Linked DNA regions of Ovis aries. The main gene of each other region encodes a partner of the protein of the gene in region 3 in a complex. Links are inferred from orthologs where the notes say so. Each region holds a gene or a part of one and is shown on either strand. Other genes may lie near its edges.

Evidence for each region. Proteins that work in one complex are often made in the same cells at the same time.
Region 1: SMARCD3 (region 3) and DPF3 share a complex: the UniProt entries of both Homo sapiens proteins name them as parts of the BAF complex. The link is inferred for Ovis aries from reciprocal best matches to the Homo sapiens genes SMARCD3 and DPF3.
Region 2: SMARCD3 (region 3) and PHF10 share a complex: the UniProt entries of both Homo sapiens proteins name them as parts of the neural progenitors-specific chromatin remodeling complex. The link is inferred for Ovis aries from reciprocal best matches to the Homo sapiens genes SMARCD3 and PHF10.

Annotation. Positions count from the first base shown.
Region 1 is NC_056060.1:82,481,300-82,486,022, forward strand, and holds the start of DPF3 (zinc finger protein DPF3), read right to left. Parts: upstream 3,368-4,723; 5' UTR 1-3,367. UniProt on the Homo sapiens protein: Belongs to the neuron-specific chromatin remodeling complex (nBAF complex).
Region 2 is NC_056061.1:91,185,324-91,190,234, forward strand, and holds the start of PHF10 (PHD finger protein 10), read right to left. Parts: upstream 3,368-4,911; 5' UTR 3,340-3,367; coding exon 3,253-3,339; intron 277-3,252; coding exon 170-276; intron 1-169. UniProt on the Homo sapiens protein: Involved in transcription activity regulation by chromatin remodeling. Belongs to the neural progenitors-specific chromatin remodeling complex (npBAF complex) and is required for the proliferation of neural progenitors.
Region 3 is NC_056057.1:115,437,736-115,442,719, forward strand, and holds the start of SMARCD3 (SWI/SNF-related matrix-associated actin-dependent regulator of chromatin subfamily D member 3), read right to left. Parts: upstream 3,208-4,984; 5' UTR 3,078-3,207; coding exon 3,000-3,077; intron 100-2,999; coding exon 1-99. UniProt on the Homo sapiens protein: Involved in transcriptional activation and repression of select genes by chromatin remodeling (alteration of DNA-nucleosome topology).

The DNA of each region.
Region 1 (4,723 bases), on a different chromosome or scaffold from region 3:
GATCTGACCCTCACCACCATGCTGCCCACATCTACTCATGTACAAAGAATTAATTCTTGCCACTGACCCCTAACGCCAACATCACATCCTCCTTGCTTACTAGCAGATTTAAACCCCAGCCCCACCTTCTCCCCTTCTCTCTCCCTGGAGTCTTCTTGGTAGAAGGAGCCAGAGACTGCTGGATGACCAGAGCCCAAGTTCCAGGAGAATGCTCCCTCTGCCCGCCAGCTTCTGTTTCCTCTGATTGAGGATGGACTCAGTATGGGGTTGACAATGGAAAATGAAACGAAGGCTTCCCTTGAGCTCCTATTCTCACCTATTTCAAACCCGGAAGATGGGAAAACCCCACTGAGATTCCAGGGCTATTTACACACAGCTGGATGAGTGAAGCTTTGCATTTCCTGAGAAACAATGGTTAGACAGGATGTGGAATGCCAGGATCTTTTCATTAATTTTGGTTTTAATATAATAAAGTGATGTTTGATACTTGCGATATTGTTGACTCTCTGAGAAGCGCCCCCCTCCCTCCCCCCAGGTTAGCTACGGGGCAGGGGTGGGGGGCACTTGGCAGCTCTAGTAACACCTCCCATTTGTACTTTACACTTTCTGAAGTGTTTTCACATCCATTGTTTCATTTGGGCCCTTCAGGGGGTGGTAAGCAGGGCTTAGCGCAGGGAAGGGAGGCCAAATGAGATGCATGCCCTTCTCCCCTTATGAAAAGATAGGTCAGATTTACTACCTCCTGACCTTCAAGCTGTCCTGTCATCCCAGGTGTTTCCAGCAGGAACACCTGCTGCCTGATGAGACCTCCACTGCCTGGGAAACCTTCGCTCCAGCCCCACCAGGTGACAACTAGTGCTGCAGCCTCTGGGGCCTCCCCATATCCAGACCCTGACCCCAAGGGAGTCCCTGCCCTCAACGGGTTGGGGGTGGGGGGGTGGTGACAAGATGAAGGCAATCCTCTGGCTGGGGATAAAAGAAGTGAGTCTCTGAGTTCCTGGGGCATTTATCCTCCACCCCCAAAATAGTGGTAGTCCTAAAGTGGGAGGCAGGTAAAGAGGTTGAATTCTATGATGCCATGAGTATTTTTTTTAAGTTTAGAAGAAAGGAGTTGCCTATACTATCTAGAAATGTACTCCATGAATCTTAGTGAGTCTAAAAATGAAGGGGGGGTCTAGGCATATACCCCAAAGAACTGAGAGCAGGGATTCAAACAGCTACTTACACACCCATGTTCATAGCAGTACTATTCACAATCGCCACAAGGTGGAAACAACCCCAGGACCCATCCCTGGATGCATGGATAAGCAAAATAAGGCATATATATACAGTGGACTATTACTCAGCCATAAAAAGGAAGGAAGTCCTGACACATGCTGTAACACAGATGAGCATTAAGAACACTATACTAAGTGCAATAAGCCAGTCACGAAAGGACAGATATTGTATGATTCCACTCATATGAGGTGCTTAGAACAGGCAAATTCATACAGACAGAAAGTACAATGGTGGTTACCACACTGGGATGGGGTGGGAGGAGGATGTCCTCATTAAAACAGAGGATGTTATTGTTTAATGGATATAGAGTGTGTTTAGGATGACTTTTTAAATTCTGGAAATGAATACAGAATATTCTGGTAGTTATACAACACTATGAATGTACTTAATGCCAGTGAACTGAACACTTTAAAAAAGGCTAAAATGGTATGTCTACATGTCATACATGCTAAATATACATGTTATGTATTGATACATCTTACCACAAGTACAAAAAAATTTAAGGGACTGCCTCTGTAGGCTGGAGGTCAAGGAGACCATTTTGTTTTTTCTTTCATTTTGCCTAATTCTCACAATTCAGGCTTCTGTGAATGTTCTGATGGTTTTAACAACCCCCTCTTCCTCCTTTAGACATGTAGAAAATTGCCAAGGGAGCTAGCTGTCAACCAAAGGAAAGCCTGATAATAATGCCTCCAGAGGAATCTGGCATGTTCTGGAGGCATATCACTGAATGAGAGGCAGTGAATTCCACTTTAGACACTGCTAATACTCACCTGCGTAAGGCCAGACTCTGTGTCTACTGAACACCTCCATTTCCTCAGCAGCATCACGGGGTGCAACAGAGGAAGCTCACTGAGACATCAGTACAGGCCCACCCACTGCAGTTCACTGAATGGTAGGGCATTTGCAACTGCCCAAATGGAAATGAAGTAAGCATTTATTTCCATGTTAACTGGGATGGGTGCCATGTTAGAAGAACAGTAGATTGAAGGAGACTGTAGATAAATGAAATCCAGAGAAGAAAATCTTTTGCTCGGTTCCCTTTCTTCCACCATACATTTACACAAAACAGGAAGAAAAAGAGAGATGTTCTCAATAATTCTAGTCTTTTGCACAACCAAAAACATAATCTGAGTGCTTGTAAACAGAAAAAAATAGGCCAATTAATCTTCTCATTTCTCTTTCCCGTCTTCATCCCCTGGTTGGAGTGTTAATGAGGAGAAAAGTGTTCAAAAGGGAGCATCAGAAGAAAAGACCACGTTCTCAGTGGGCCACCACCTGGCCCTCAGCCTTGGGCGCTGAGAAGAGAGAGATCAGAGCCCAGTGGCAACAGAAGGTGGCAAGACAGGAACCAGAGAAGATGAAACTACAGGAGAGCCTACCAGTCTTAACTCCCTTTTAGAGCCACACTTAAAAAATGAGGAGGAATTCAAACACTGGTCCCTAACTGTCCTCCTCATCCTTCCTAATCCACCATAGTCAAGAGGCCCCAGTTTTTTACTGGAAAGGAATTTGGCAATCAAGGTGCATCACCCTCACCTTTAAGACAAGGAATATGTGGCTCAGAGAAGTTCTGGGTCTAAGGTCTCATAGCTGGTGAGCAGTAGGGCTGAAAACTGAGCTCAAATCTCCGGGATCCTCTCCCTGAAGCTTTTACTTCTGAAGCTACAAAAGCATAGTCACTGGTGAGAAAGTATAAGAGGGATGGAGTTTGACATAAGGACATAGGGATGACTGGTGAAAGTTTGAGAACTGAAAAACCTTTTCTGGTGGAGCTTCCAGTTGAAGTTAATACCACAGCAGATTTTTGAAGTGAATATTCAACAATGAGAAAAACTCACTCATTTCATAGCAACCTAAGATGACAGCAAGCTCTGGACTCGAGGAGGGAGGAGAGGGTGCAAAGGGGGATTAGACACGTATCATCATTGTTCCTTGGACTCAGAACTAAGTCCTGGAGGTGAAGGTCTCAACGTGGGCTATTTGAACCCTATTATTAGGAGCTCCTGCCCCTCCCTGCTTTCAAACACAGCCCCCTAAATCTTAGCCTGCTTTCCTTGTAACCCCCCACCTACTACTACTATTCACAAACACACAACCTAGACATTTCCAGCATAGGTTGCTCCTCTTCTCCCCTCCCCTGACCCAAACACCTCCTAGCCACTGCTTTTAAAACTCTGATGCAAATCACAGGCTTCAAAAACCTTCCTTCAGTGACAGTTTTATGATGCTAGCTCCATTCATCCATATGGGTTGACAGACTGTGAAACACTAGTAACCGGACCAATAAGAAAAACAGATTACAAAAACACCACAACACCTCATCTCTCCCCAGTTGCTCACACAACTAAAGAAAACTTTGGAACTTGCAATAGATCATAACATCAGTCTCTCTTGCTGTTAAACAATCATCTTCTCAGAGTTCCAGACCACACAGTAGTTTTATCCACTTACCTATCCCCTCCGTATCCCCTCTCCCCAGGCCACTTCTTTATCTTTCCTTGTTAAATACCTACATGTTTAAAGATTATTTAATGCTAGGGTCATGCTTACATAGGCCCCTGCTGGAAAACCATGGCTGGGCAAAAACTGTTTCAGTGGTTGTGGCATTTCAGGGGCTTGCCACATTGGGCTACATTTGTCTTCTAGTGACTTTCAGAACACTCAGAAACCACAAAAGTTACTTTGCAGAGGTTGGGATAATAGACAGGCCTGAATTCTGATGCTTTTCATGACCCACACCCAGCACCACTACAATCAGGATGGCTGTACTTTCAAAACTGAAACATTAGCCTCAGTTTCTTTTCCTTTTCTGGTGCAAGCTCAAAACAAAGCTTGGTTGACCATGGCATTTTATTTTCTGCACTGATCTGAGCAGATGGCTCTGGAACAGCTTTAGACATTATGGTGTTTCTCAGATGTACCTAAATTTCAGCCACCTGCATGGTTCCAAAAAGACAAAGGAGGATGAGAAGTCTCCAATTAAGTTGCCTCTGAATTCCAGGCCACTTTCTAGAACTAAGCAACTCCCATTCAACTGGAGACCTCTGAATGTCTCCCAGGTGGTCTGCAACCGCAGCAGTTCTCTGTGGCGATGCCTCCATTTGGGTTCTGGCAGAAATTAATAACCTTTATGGGTATCTCATCAAAACCAGACATGCTTCCCACTGAAAAATAATGTGTGCTAATGAAGTTTAGAGAATTTAAGGCTTCCCCCCGCCCTCACCCCAGTGGCAACCAGAAGCAGATGGAGAAGGTGGTTCTTAGGCATCTGTTGGCTTAAAATGTCTGAGGGTCCTTTTTCATAAGGGGCTAAAATAATGTCCATAAAAAGCTGAAAGCTCACAAATCCCAACCCCAGTTTTCCCCATTTAGTACCTACCCAAATCCCCCACCCCAACAGAAAGAGCCAGAAGCAGATTAGAACCAGGAATGTGTCCCCTCT
Region 2 (4,911 bases), on a different chromosome or scaffold from region 3:
TTGCACTAAGCAGCAGAAAGCAACTTTGGTGTTACTTTTTAAAACACAATGAAAACATTCTACAACCCTTACTGATTGCCTTTGCCAGGGCTGGGGGATGGGGAGGAGAGAGCTAACACCGAGAAAAAACACATGGCACAGAAAGCATTAAACAATAAAATGGCAATACCCAAGGTCCTGGCTGGAAGTGTCGCAGCTCCTGGAGCTGTCTCCAGAGCCCATTCGCCTCCTTTTGGACGGCTGGGTCCCATCATTTGAATTATCTTCATTGTCATCCTATACATTCAAAAGATGCAAAAAATAACAGGACAAAAAACAGTAAATAAGGGGAGATTACGTAATCCTCCCAAACTTGCTAAAAGGCTCAACTTAAAGGCTTCCTAAAGATTATACAAATGATAACTTCCTATTATAATTAACCAGGGACAAGAATTTGGCCTTGGCAAGACCTGGAAAAAACCAAAAACTAATCTCCAATCCAAATCAAAGTAGTAAATTTTCAATTGTCTTGTAGGTTTAAATCTACTTTTCCTTTCTTACCAAGAGGTTAAAGTGCTTCTGCTTTGAAGAAACACACCAAACTGCTACAGCACTCTGAGATTAAAATGAACACTCCTGCTCTAGCTAGGACGAAAACGTGTGGGATCAGTTACTGTTTAACTCAACTCAGAGCTGGCTTATTCTCCTTGGCTACTTCGGACACTTATATCCCTGTGAACAGGACACAAAGGAACACGAACAGACGACCAATCGTCATCTTTCTTATATTTGCAAAGATTCAGCAAAAATATACCAGAATAAGAGTCATCGACCAATGCAACACACACTACCTCCCCAAAAGAAGACGTTTAAAAAGTTTTAAAGTGACATTTTCCATTGTGCGGCTTTATCAAGGCTGTAAGTTAGACCATTTACATTAAGGAAATGAATGATGGGTCCAGTATCAGGAAATTGAATGCGCTGTTGTCGCCCCTCAGGCAAAAGCGGGTAAATCTGTGTTTATCAGACTCTTTCGTAACCCCATAGACTATAGTCCCCCAGGTTCCTCGGTCCCTGGGATTTCCCAGGCAAGAATCCTGGAATGGGTCCCGTCTCCTGCCTTGGCAGCCCGGTTCTCTACCACTGAGCCACCTGCGAAGCCCGACCACACATCAGCCAAGGCTTAAACTAATTAAAGATTAAAAACAAAAAAAATTCATGGTATTCTAGCCTCCTGCTGCTGCTACTGCTAAGGAGCTTCAGTCATGTCCGACTCTGTGCGACCCCATAGACGGCAGCCCACTAGGATCCTCTGTCCCTGGGATTCTCCAGGCAAGAACACTGGAGTGGGTTGCCATTTCCTTCTCTAATGCATCAAAGTGAAAAGTGAAAGTGAAGTCGATCAGTGGTGCCCAATTCCTATCGACCCCATGGACTGCAGCCCACCAGGCTCCTCTGTCCATGGGATTCTCCAGGCAAGAGTACTGGAGTGGGGTGCCACTGCCTTCTCCAGTCTAGCCTCCTAAGACAACACAAGTTTGTTAAATATCATGAATCCAAGAATACAGAGGTAGTGAGTATGTTGGGTCAGGCACATCAAAGCTGGACCGCCTGGAATCTTACTGGCCACTGACTGCCCCTCACCAGCTGCGTGGTTATCCTCCTTATCTGTGAGAACAGTACTGCCTATTACTTGGCCAGTGTAGGGATTAGAGTTAATACGTGAAATAATTAGAGCAAGGTCTTGCAAACAGTTAAGTGCCCAGGAGAACTTGACTGCACTGATGATCAAGTCTCAAAAGGCTCCCTGTTAGGAATTTACTCAGATTCTTTACCAAATAGCAAAAACCGTGGAATATTCTCCTTTTCAGTCCTTAGAAAATAAGTATTCAGTTGAAAAGTTCTGTATACTCCTATGAAGATAAGCAACCAGGTAGGAGATGGAGAACAGCCTAAATCTACTTTCTCCAAAAACTGACATTTAACAGTGTCTCCCAACTGAAACATTTCATAGTCAACAAGCATTCAAGTATCATTTCTCTTCTATTTCACTTGCTTTTGAGCACTTTAAGGATTTTTATGTCCATTTGTTTAAATACCTTTCCCTTAGCTAAAAAAATTGTATACACTTAAAAAGTGTTAATTAAAAATGGAAGTCCTCAAAAACGCTGAAAGCACAATTTCACATGCAGTGCCTGAATCTGCTATCGTGAATTCTAGGCAAACGTGTTAGTCCATACAGTGAACATCAGAGAGGGGTAACAGCAACGTATTTCCTAACGTATGATGGAATACGATTAAAAGAATTCGCCTGCAACCTGGCTGTTGACAGAGGAGTCCGGGTTTTAAGGCTTCCCACCTCTGAGGTCAGCAACGTGTGTCTCAGAGTGCTGGGTGGCTCTCACCTTGGGACTGAACCCATTTCTGAAGGTCAGCGGACAGGACTGCGAGCAAACTCGGGGAGCGGGTGAAGGAGCGGGAAGCCTGCGCGCCGCAGTCGTGGGGTCGCAAAGGGTCCCGCACGACCGAGCGAGCGAGGGCAGCGCCGCCACGGCGGCAGGGCCGGGCGCGGGGCGAGCCCCCCGGGCGGGCCTGGGCTCCGGCGGCGCCGCCCTCGGGCCCGGCCTGGGCTCCGGAAGCCCGGCCCAGCGGGGCCCCGGCGCGCCGCCCGCGAGGAGGGCCGGGCGGCCCCGCAGGCGCCCCGCACCCGGGCGGCCCCGTCGCCGTCCAGCGCCAGCCTTCCGGTCTCAACTCGAGCGCGGGCGTGTAGGTCGCTCTGTCACAAGCGGGTGGGCTGGCCGAGCACAGCCGCGCTGCCTGAACGCTCGCCCGGACTCTCCCCGCGCCGCCGACCTCCACGCACCGAGGCCGCCCCGCTCCCCTGGAAGCGCGCCCACGGCGGGCCGAGCGCGGCCTAGAGCGCGGGGCGGCTCTCCGCGGCTCCGGCGCCGCCCGCGCAGCCCCCGCCGGCTCGCCCCGTCCCCTCCCCGCGTCCCGGCTCCAGCCAGCGGCGCTCCGCGGGGCGCGCGGGGGCCCAGGCCCGCGGCGGGACGGCCCGCGGCGCCGGCGCCAACTTTCACTTCTGGCGAGAGCGCGCTGCCCGGGCGGACGCGCCCCGGGCGCCTGCGGGCGGAAACCGCCGAGAACTCTCGGGCCCGAGGCCCAGCGGAGCCCGCGGCCGCGCCCGGCCCCGCCGCCCCTCGGGCCTCCCCACGGCCGCCCCCCGGGGGCCCCCCCGGCCCAGCCCCGGCCCAGCCCCGGCCCGCGGCTCACCTTCGGGGACTGCGCTCCGGGGGAGGCCGGGTCGCTGTCGCACGGCCGCGGAGACAGCGCCGTCCCGGGGCCGCCCGCCGCCGCCATCAGCCCGAGCGCCCCGCGCCGCCGCCGCCGCCGCCGCCGCCGCCTCGTCCCGGCCGCCGCCGCCGCCGCCGCCGCCGCCACCGCCGCGCGGGCCGCCCGCCGCCCGGGCCCCGCCCCCTCCGCCCGCCCGCCGCCCGGGGGCCGGCCCCTGCCTCCGCGCGCCCCGCGGCCCGCCAGCGCCGCCGCCACCGCCATGGCCGCCGCCAGCGCGCCGCCCGCCGCCGCCGGGCCCGCCGCCCGCCGCCCGCCGCCCGCCGGGCCCGCCGCCGTGCGCGCCCGCGGGGCCCTCCGCGCCCTCGGCCGCCGCCGCCCGCCGCGCTCGCCGCCGCCGCCGCCCCCCGGCCGCCGCCCTCGGCCGCACGCAGCCCCGGCCCGCCGCCACCCCGCCTCCCGGCCGCCGCCGCCGCCGCCGCCGCCGCAGCAGCCCGGCGCGCTCCGCGGCCCCACCTCCCGCCGCTCCCCCCGGCCCCCAGCCCCGCCCCGGCCCGCCGCCCAGGGCGCGCTCGCCGCCGCCGCCGCCCCCTCCCCGCCGCCCCCGGCCCGGCCCCTCGCACGTCAGCCCTCTCCTCCCACCGCGCCGCGCCCGCGCTCCCCGCCTCTCCCCTGCGCCGCCAGCCCGGGGGGCGCCGCCCCGCCCCTCGCTCCCCGGCGTCCGCGCCCGCGTCCCCGCCGCCCCCACCCCTCCATCCCAGGTGTCCCTCCGCCTCCGGGGTCCGCGCCCGCGTGCCCTGTCCCCTCCTGGGGGGCCCCGCCCCTCCCCCTCCGCCTCCCCCTCCATCCCAGGTGCCCCTCCCCGCGCCCTCCCTCCCCGGTGTCCGCGCCCCCGTCCCCTCTCTCCCTCCTGGGGGTCCCCGCCCCTCCCCCTCCATCCTGAGGGGCCCCTCCCCCTCCCCCTCCATCCCAGGTGTCCCTCCCTCCCCGGTGTCCGCGCCCGCGTGCCCTGTCCCCTCCTGGGGGTCCCCCCTCCCCCTCCATCCTGAGGGGCCCCTCCCCCTCCCCCTCCATCCCAGGTGCCCCTCCCCGCCCCCTCCCTCCCCGGTGTCCGCGCCCCCGTCCCCTCTCTCCCTCCTGGGGGTCCCCCCTCCCCCTCCATCCTGAGGGGCCCCTCCCCCTCCCCCTCCATCCCAGGTGCCCCTCCCCGCCCCCTCCCTCCCCGATGTCCGCGCCCGCGTGCCCGCTCTCCCTCCTGGGGGGCCCCGCCCCTCCCCCTCCCTCCTGGGGTCCCCGCCCCGGCACCCGCGCCCGCGTGCCCTGACCCGGCGGTCCTCGCCGCCCTTCCCTCCCACCTCCTTCCCAAGGGGCCCGCCCCCTCGCCCTCCCTGCAGGGTCCCTCCCCCTCTCCCCTCCGCCGCCTCTCCCTCCCGGGGTCCTCGGCGCCCCGCCCCCTCCTCCACCTTCCCGGGGGTCTCCCCGGCACCCTCTCCCTACCCTGGGGGCTGCGTCGCGGGGGCCTCTGAGGGCCCCGGCTCGTTTCCTCGCGTCCCCGGTTCCCGGTCGCTGCCTGCCGTCCCCCTTTGTTCTCTGCTCGCGGCCTCGATCTCTCCGGTGCTCCTGAACCACCTGCCAGGGAAC
Region 3 (4,984 bases):
GCCGGGTCGCACGGCGGGGCTGCCCATGTACGGGGAGCCCGGGGGGCCCATGGGCGCCCCCTGGTGGGGCATCCGGGCTCCAGACGGCATCCCGGGGCGCTGGGGAGGGGGGTCGGGGGGGCGTGAAGCAGACACAGGCGCCCGGCGGTCAGAACCAGGGCTCCGGGCTCCAGGCGCGCGGAGCTACGCCTCCCCCCGAACCCCGAGCCCCCCGGCCCGTGACCCTGCTGCCGACGGCGCGATGCCGATGGGGCTGGGAGGGGTGGGGAGGGGCGGGGGCGCCGGAACCGCGCGGCTTTGGCGGAGGGGGGGGGGGGGGGGGGGGGTGGTGGTGGCTTGCGTCTCGCTGCAGGAAGCTAACTGAAGCCAGGCAACTAACTGCACAGGGCATCGCCAGCCTCGGATTTGCGGAAGGTGCCGCGAAGATGAATATTAATGGCGCCTTTCAACCTTTTCAAAGGATGCTCCTATCCACACGCTCCTCTGCAAGACAGACTGAGGGCCTTCTATCCCCACTTGACGGATGAGGCAACCGCGGCTCAAGGAGAGAGGCAACCTAGCCAAGGTCATGCAAGGCCCTTTCCTGAGGGGCCCGGGGTTTGTGCCCTCTCTGCTGCTTTCGTTTAGTTCAGGGCTGGCTCTCTTGCTCCGGACTTCTGCCGTCTGCCTTCCCGTTTGCCTGCTTCCCAGTCCATTTCCAGGGGGTCCTGCCTTCCCTGCCTTCCCTGCCTTCAACCCACTTTCCTCTCTGGGGCCCTGCTTTTGCCCCTCCGTCCCAATCCCTGCCCCCTTGCTCTGATTCCCAGCCTCTACCGTCAGGGGCTTGGCTGAATTAGCCCACCTGCATAATTTACTCTCAAGGTGAAGGCTTGGAGGTAGGGCTAGAAGCAGCTTGAGGGGCTGAGGTCAGACCTCACCAGGATTCTCCCATTGAGGGGAGGGGGGCTATGAGGCTTGACTGGTGATGGGTGGTCCAGAGGGCTTGGGTAGGTCAAAAGGATGGACATTTTCTCTTATATCTATCTCTCCCTTCCTGTCTGCCTGAATCACCAGAGATGGCCCCATCCTACAGACTACAACTACTCCCCACCCTACCCCAGTGAGGTCAGAAGTCTGGGTTCCCAGGGGGCACGGGGAGGCAGGTGAGGCAGGTGTGCGCCCTTGCTGCTACCCGGGTGCTCAACTGGGATACAGATGACAACCCAGTGCATCGAGTGAAGTGTTCCACAGACTCGTAAAACCTCACTTGTCCCATTCCAGAAGAGAGGCTGGGGAGGGCCCAAGGGGCTGTCAAGCGGAGGGTGGCCAGGATGTGGACGGGGGCCAGGAGAGCAGGAAGGAGATCAGGGAGCCACGGTCACAGACCCTGTGCCCCTGTTATACTATCTGAGCACCACCCACTCCACCCCAGGGGTGCAGCTGCTCCCAGAACAGGGAAGCGCCCTGCCCCTGAGCCTAGTGAATCTCCTCGCACTGCCCCCCTCCCCCGGGTCCCTCCTGCCCGCGCCGTGTCTAACCCTAACCCCCAGCCAACCAGCTGTCTCTGCCTGTCACAGCCTCAGCAGTGAGACCTGCCTGTCCATGTGTCTGCCTCCCCCACCCCACCTGACCCTGTCACTCACACCTCCAGGGTGGTGGCCCATAATGGAGCCCAGGCCCGCCACTCCCTGCCAGCACAGACAGGGCGCTGGGAGTGGGGCTCAGGCCACCCAAGAACTGAAGCAGTGAGTTGACTTAAAAAAAAATCCACATGTATACACTCTCTCACTCCTAGATGGGCCTTTTATTGGGACACCCCAGGCAGCAAGATCAGGGCTGGTCATGAGGCTAACCAACATGGGGACCCCTTGGAAGTTAGCCTAGGGACCCATGGGCCTGGAGAACAGGCTGCTTTGGGAAAGCCCCTTTCCTCATCAGCTGCTCTCCCATTTAATGAGGCTGGTGGTACTCACTGATCTGCTAAGGAGGCCCCAAGAGGGAGGCCTCCAGAGCCCCTAGAAGGCTGTGCTGGCCAGCGGGGATGGGTGACCTGCCCAAAGGGCCAACATTTTAGGGGCTCTGGCCTCTCTTACTGAGAACGTGTCTTCCTTGGGGTCACAACCAAATTTGGCCATAGTAAACCCGACTGCTTCCTTTCTGCCCGGCTTCAGCACCAGTGGCCGTCCCAAGTCCTGGAGCCTCTGCCTCTCCTATGCCACAGCCCTTCCAACCCGTCCCCACCCCCTCAGGCTCCCTGGGCTCACTCAGGCTCCCAGTGGGCCTTCTAAACCTGCCCCTCTGGTCTCCAGGCCTCCCGTCCCTGACTCCAGCTCTTCCTTCACACCTTTGAGGTGTTAAGGACATCAGCTTCTGGTGGTGGAGGCTGCCAAAGGATCCTCAGACCCCTTAACCTGGGGTCTGCCCCTAGAGAGGGCCTCTCTCTGGCCCTGATTGGCAGAGGCCAGGGGCAGAGCCCCGGAGCCCTCAGCCCAGGATGCAAAGGTGGTTCAGCCCCAGAGCTTCCCACTCACAGCGCCGCCAGGGTCACCTGCTCCTTGCTCCCGAGACACTGTCCCAGCTGATGAACAAGCAGCCCAGCGCAGCGATGCCAAGTCCCCCCACCCCCCACTCCCAGGGCAGGGGTCGCACCTGGGCTCCACCAGGGAAAGAAGGGAAGACAACCCATCGGGTTGTCCCCACAGGGGACCCACCCACCCACTTTGGGGGAGACCGTCCCCAAGTTCTACCCCCAAGCCCCTGACAGGAACCCATGCAAACGCCTGCCTTCCCCGCCCCGGGGCACCCATCCCCGGCCAAGCCGCCTGACGACGTGTTCGGGCGCCCCCAGGGCGCGCCGGCACGGGGCTGGGGCCGGGCCCGCTGGGCCGCGGCGCTCCCGCTAGAGGCGTGGGGTGGGGTGTGGGGGGAGCGGGAGCCCCCTCCCGGCCCCTCCCGACCTTCCCTCCATTCAGCCCGAGCCAGCTCGCTCGCCCTCCCCCGCTAACTTTTCCCCCACTCACCACCCCATGGACCAGAAACTCAAAAAGTTTGCTTTTCGTGGCTTTGCGCGCCCCTCCGGCAACTTCGTCCGCGGCCATCGGGGTGGGCTCAGCGGCGCCTCTCACTCTCTCTCTCTCTCTCTTGCTCTTTCTTTCCCTTTTCTGCCTTTTTTTTTTTTTTTTCCTCCAACTCTCCCCTCTGAGTCCTGCTGGGCTCTCTCACACTTCTACTCGAGCGGAGTGGGGAGGGGGCCCCTTCAGGGCTGCCCTGACGGCCCACGGCCCACGCCGCCGCCGCCGCCGCCGCCCGCCAGCCGCCGCGGCTGCCGCATTCCTGCACTGATAAGACAGAAATAGTCCGGCGGCCCGGGGTCCGCCTGTTGACTCGGCGGGGACGGAGAAGCCTGCCTTTCCCAAGCTTCGCCGGGCCCAAACAGCGCAGATAAGCGGCGAGGCTCGCCGGCCAGCGCGGCTCCGGGCCGCTGGGCAGCGGCGCCGCCTGCCCGAGGCCGCCCGAGGGCCGCGGGGAGGCGGCGGCAGCGGCGGCGGCGCGGGGAGGGGACGCGAGGGGAGGCGGCCGGGGGGCTCGCCGGCCACCCGGCCTCTCTCGCCGCAAATAGTTTTTCGCTTAGGGAATTCGCCGGCAGGGAACAGGCCGGGAACAGGCCGTTCCAACTTTGCCCCCAAGTGGCTCCTGCCGCATTTCTGAGGCCCTTTTCCCCAGAGACCTGGCAGGCCAAGTAGGGAAACATTTCGCTGGGAAGGAATCCGGGGTGGGTGGAGGGGGTGGTGGTGGCGGGGGGCGGGAGTCGAGCCCGGAGGAGGCCTTTCTCCGGCACCGGGCGGCCGTGGTGGGTGTGCCCCGGAGGCGGTGTGCCCTGCAGTCCATAGATGTGTGCGCCCTTGTCTCACCGCTGAGTGTGTCTGCACCCTGGTGTGGGCACGGCCGGCGGCCGTGGGTGTGGATGTTTACGTGCGTGCACAGATAAATGCCTCCTCTGTGTGCCTCCCTCCACCGCAGCCTCCGGTACGCGCGCGCGCGCGGGCGGGCGCGGGTGCGTGTGTGGCTGGACACGGTCTGTGTCTCCCCGCTCGGGGTGTCTATTTCGGGCTATGTGAGTCTTTGTCTCTCTGTGACAAAGTCGAGGCAGTAGGGGAAATTTCGGAGAGAGGGAGGTGGGCCAGGCTCGTGAGAACGGGAAGGGAAGCGTGGGGGCAGGCAAGGAACTGGGGTGGACGGATGGGTGGCGAGGCGGAGGCCAGCGCGACCTGACGGCTTTGGAATGGGCTGGGGGTGGGGGCGGGGGACCCGCAGGAGCTGGGGCGCTGGGTATGGTAGGGCCAATCTCTGGACCCCAAAGTAAGCAGGGGTAGGGGTGGGGCCGTGAGGGAGCCCCAGAAAGGGTGGTGTGGAGGGAGCTGGGGTGAAGGAGGGACAGGAAACAGGAGGGGCGAACCCTGCGAGTCCCCAGGCTGGGAGCACTGGCCCCGCCCACGCCCCAGAGGCCACACCCTTCTCCCCGCCTCCGGGAGGAAGCGCCCCAGGGGCTTTGAGACCAGACGGGTCAAGTTTATGCCTCCCGGGGCTGCACTGTCCGTACCCAGGTGAGGGCAGGACAGGGCCCTGGGGAATTTGTTGGAAATTTTTATTCCGGGTTAGATCCTTAAGACCCAGCCTGACCCTCAACCCTTTAGAAAGCCATCAGAAGTCGGGACCAAGAACCCAGGGAGCGGCTCTGCCGAGGGAGTCTTTTTTTGCTTGCAGCCTGATTTCCTTGGCCCCCTGTGCTTCTGGCTGTCACTGTCCATTTCAGTGCCCACAGCCAATCCCCTGAAAGACTAGAGAAGGCATGTGGTCCAGGCAGCTCCTCCTTTACCTTACCAGAGACCTAGAGAGCCCCCTCCTACCACACCTCTACCCAGGCTTCCCCCAGACCCACACTCACAGATAATGGGTCCTGGTGGGTGGGAACGGGTGGGTGTTTGCCACTGGCCACGAAGGTGTC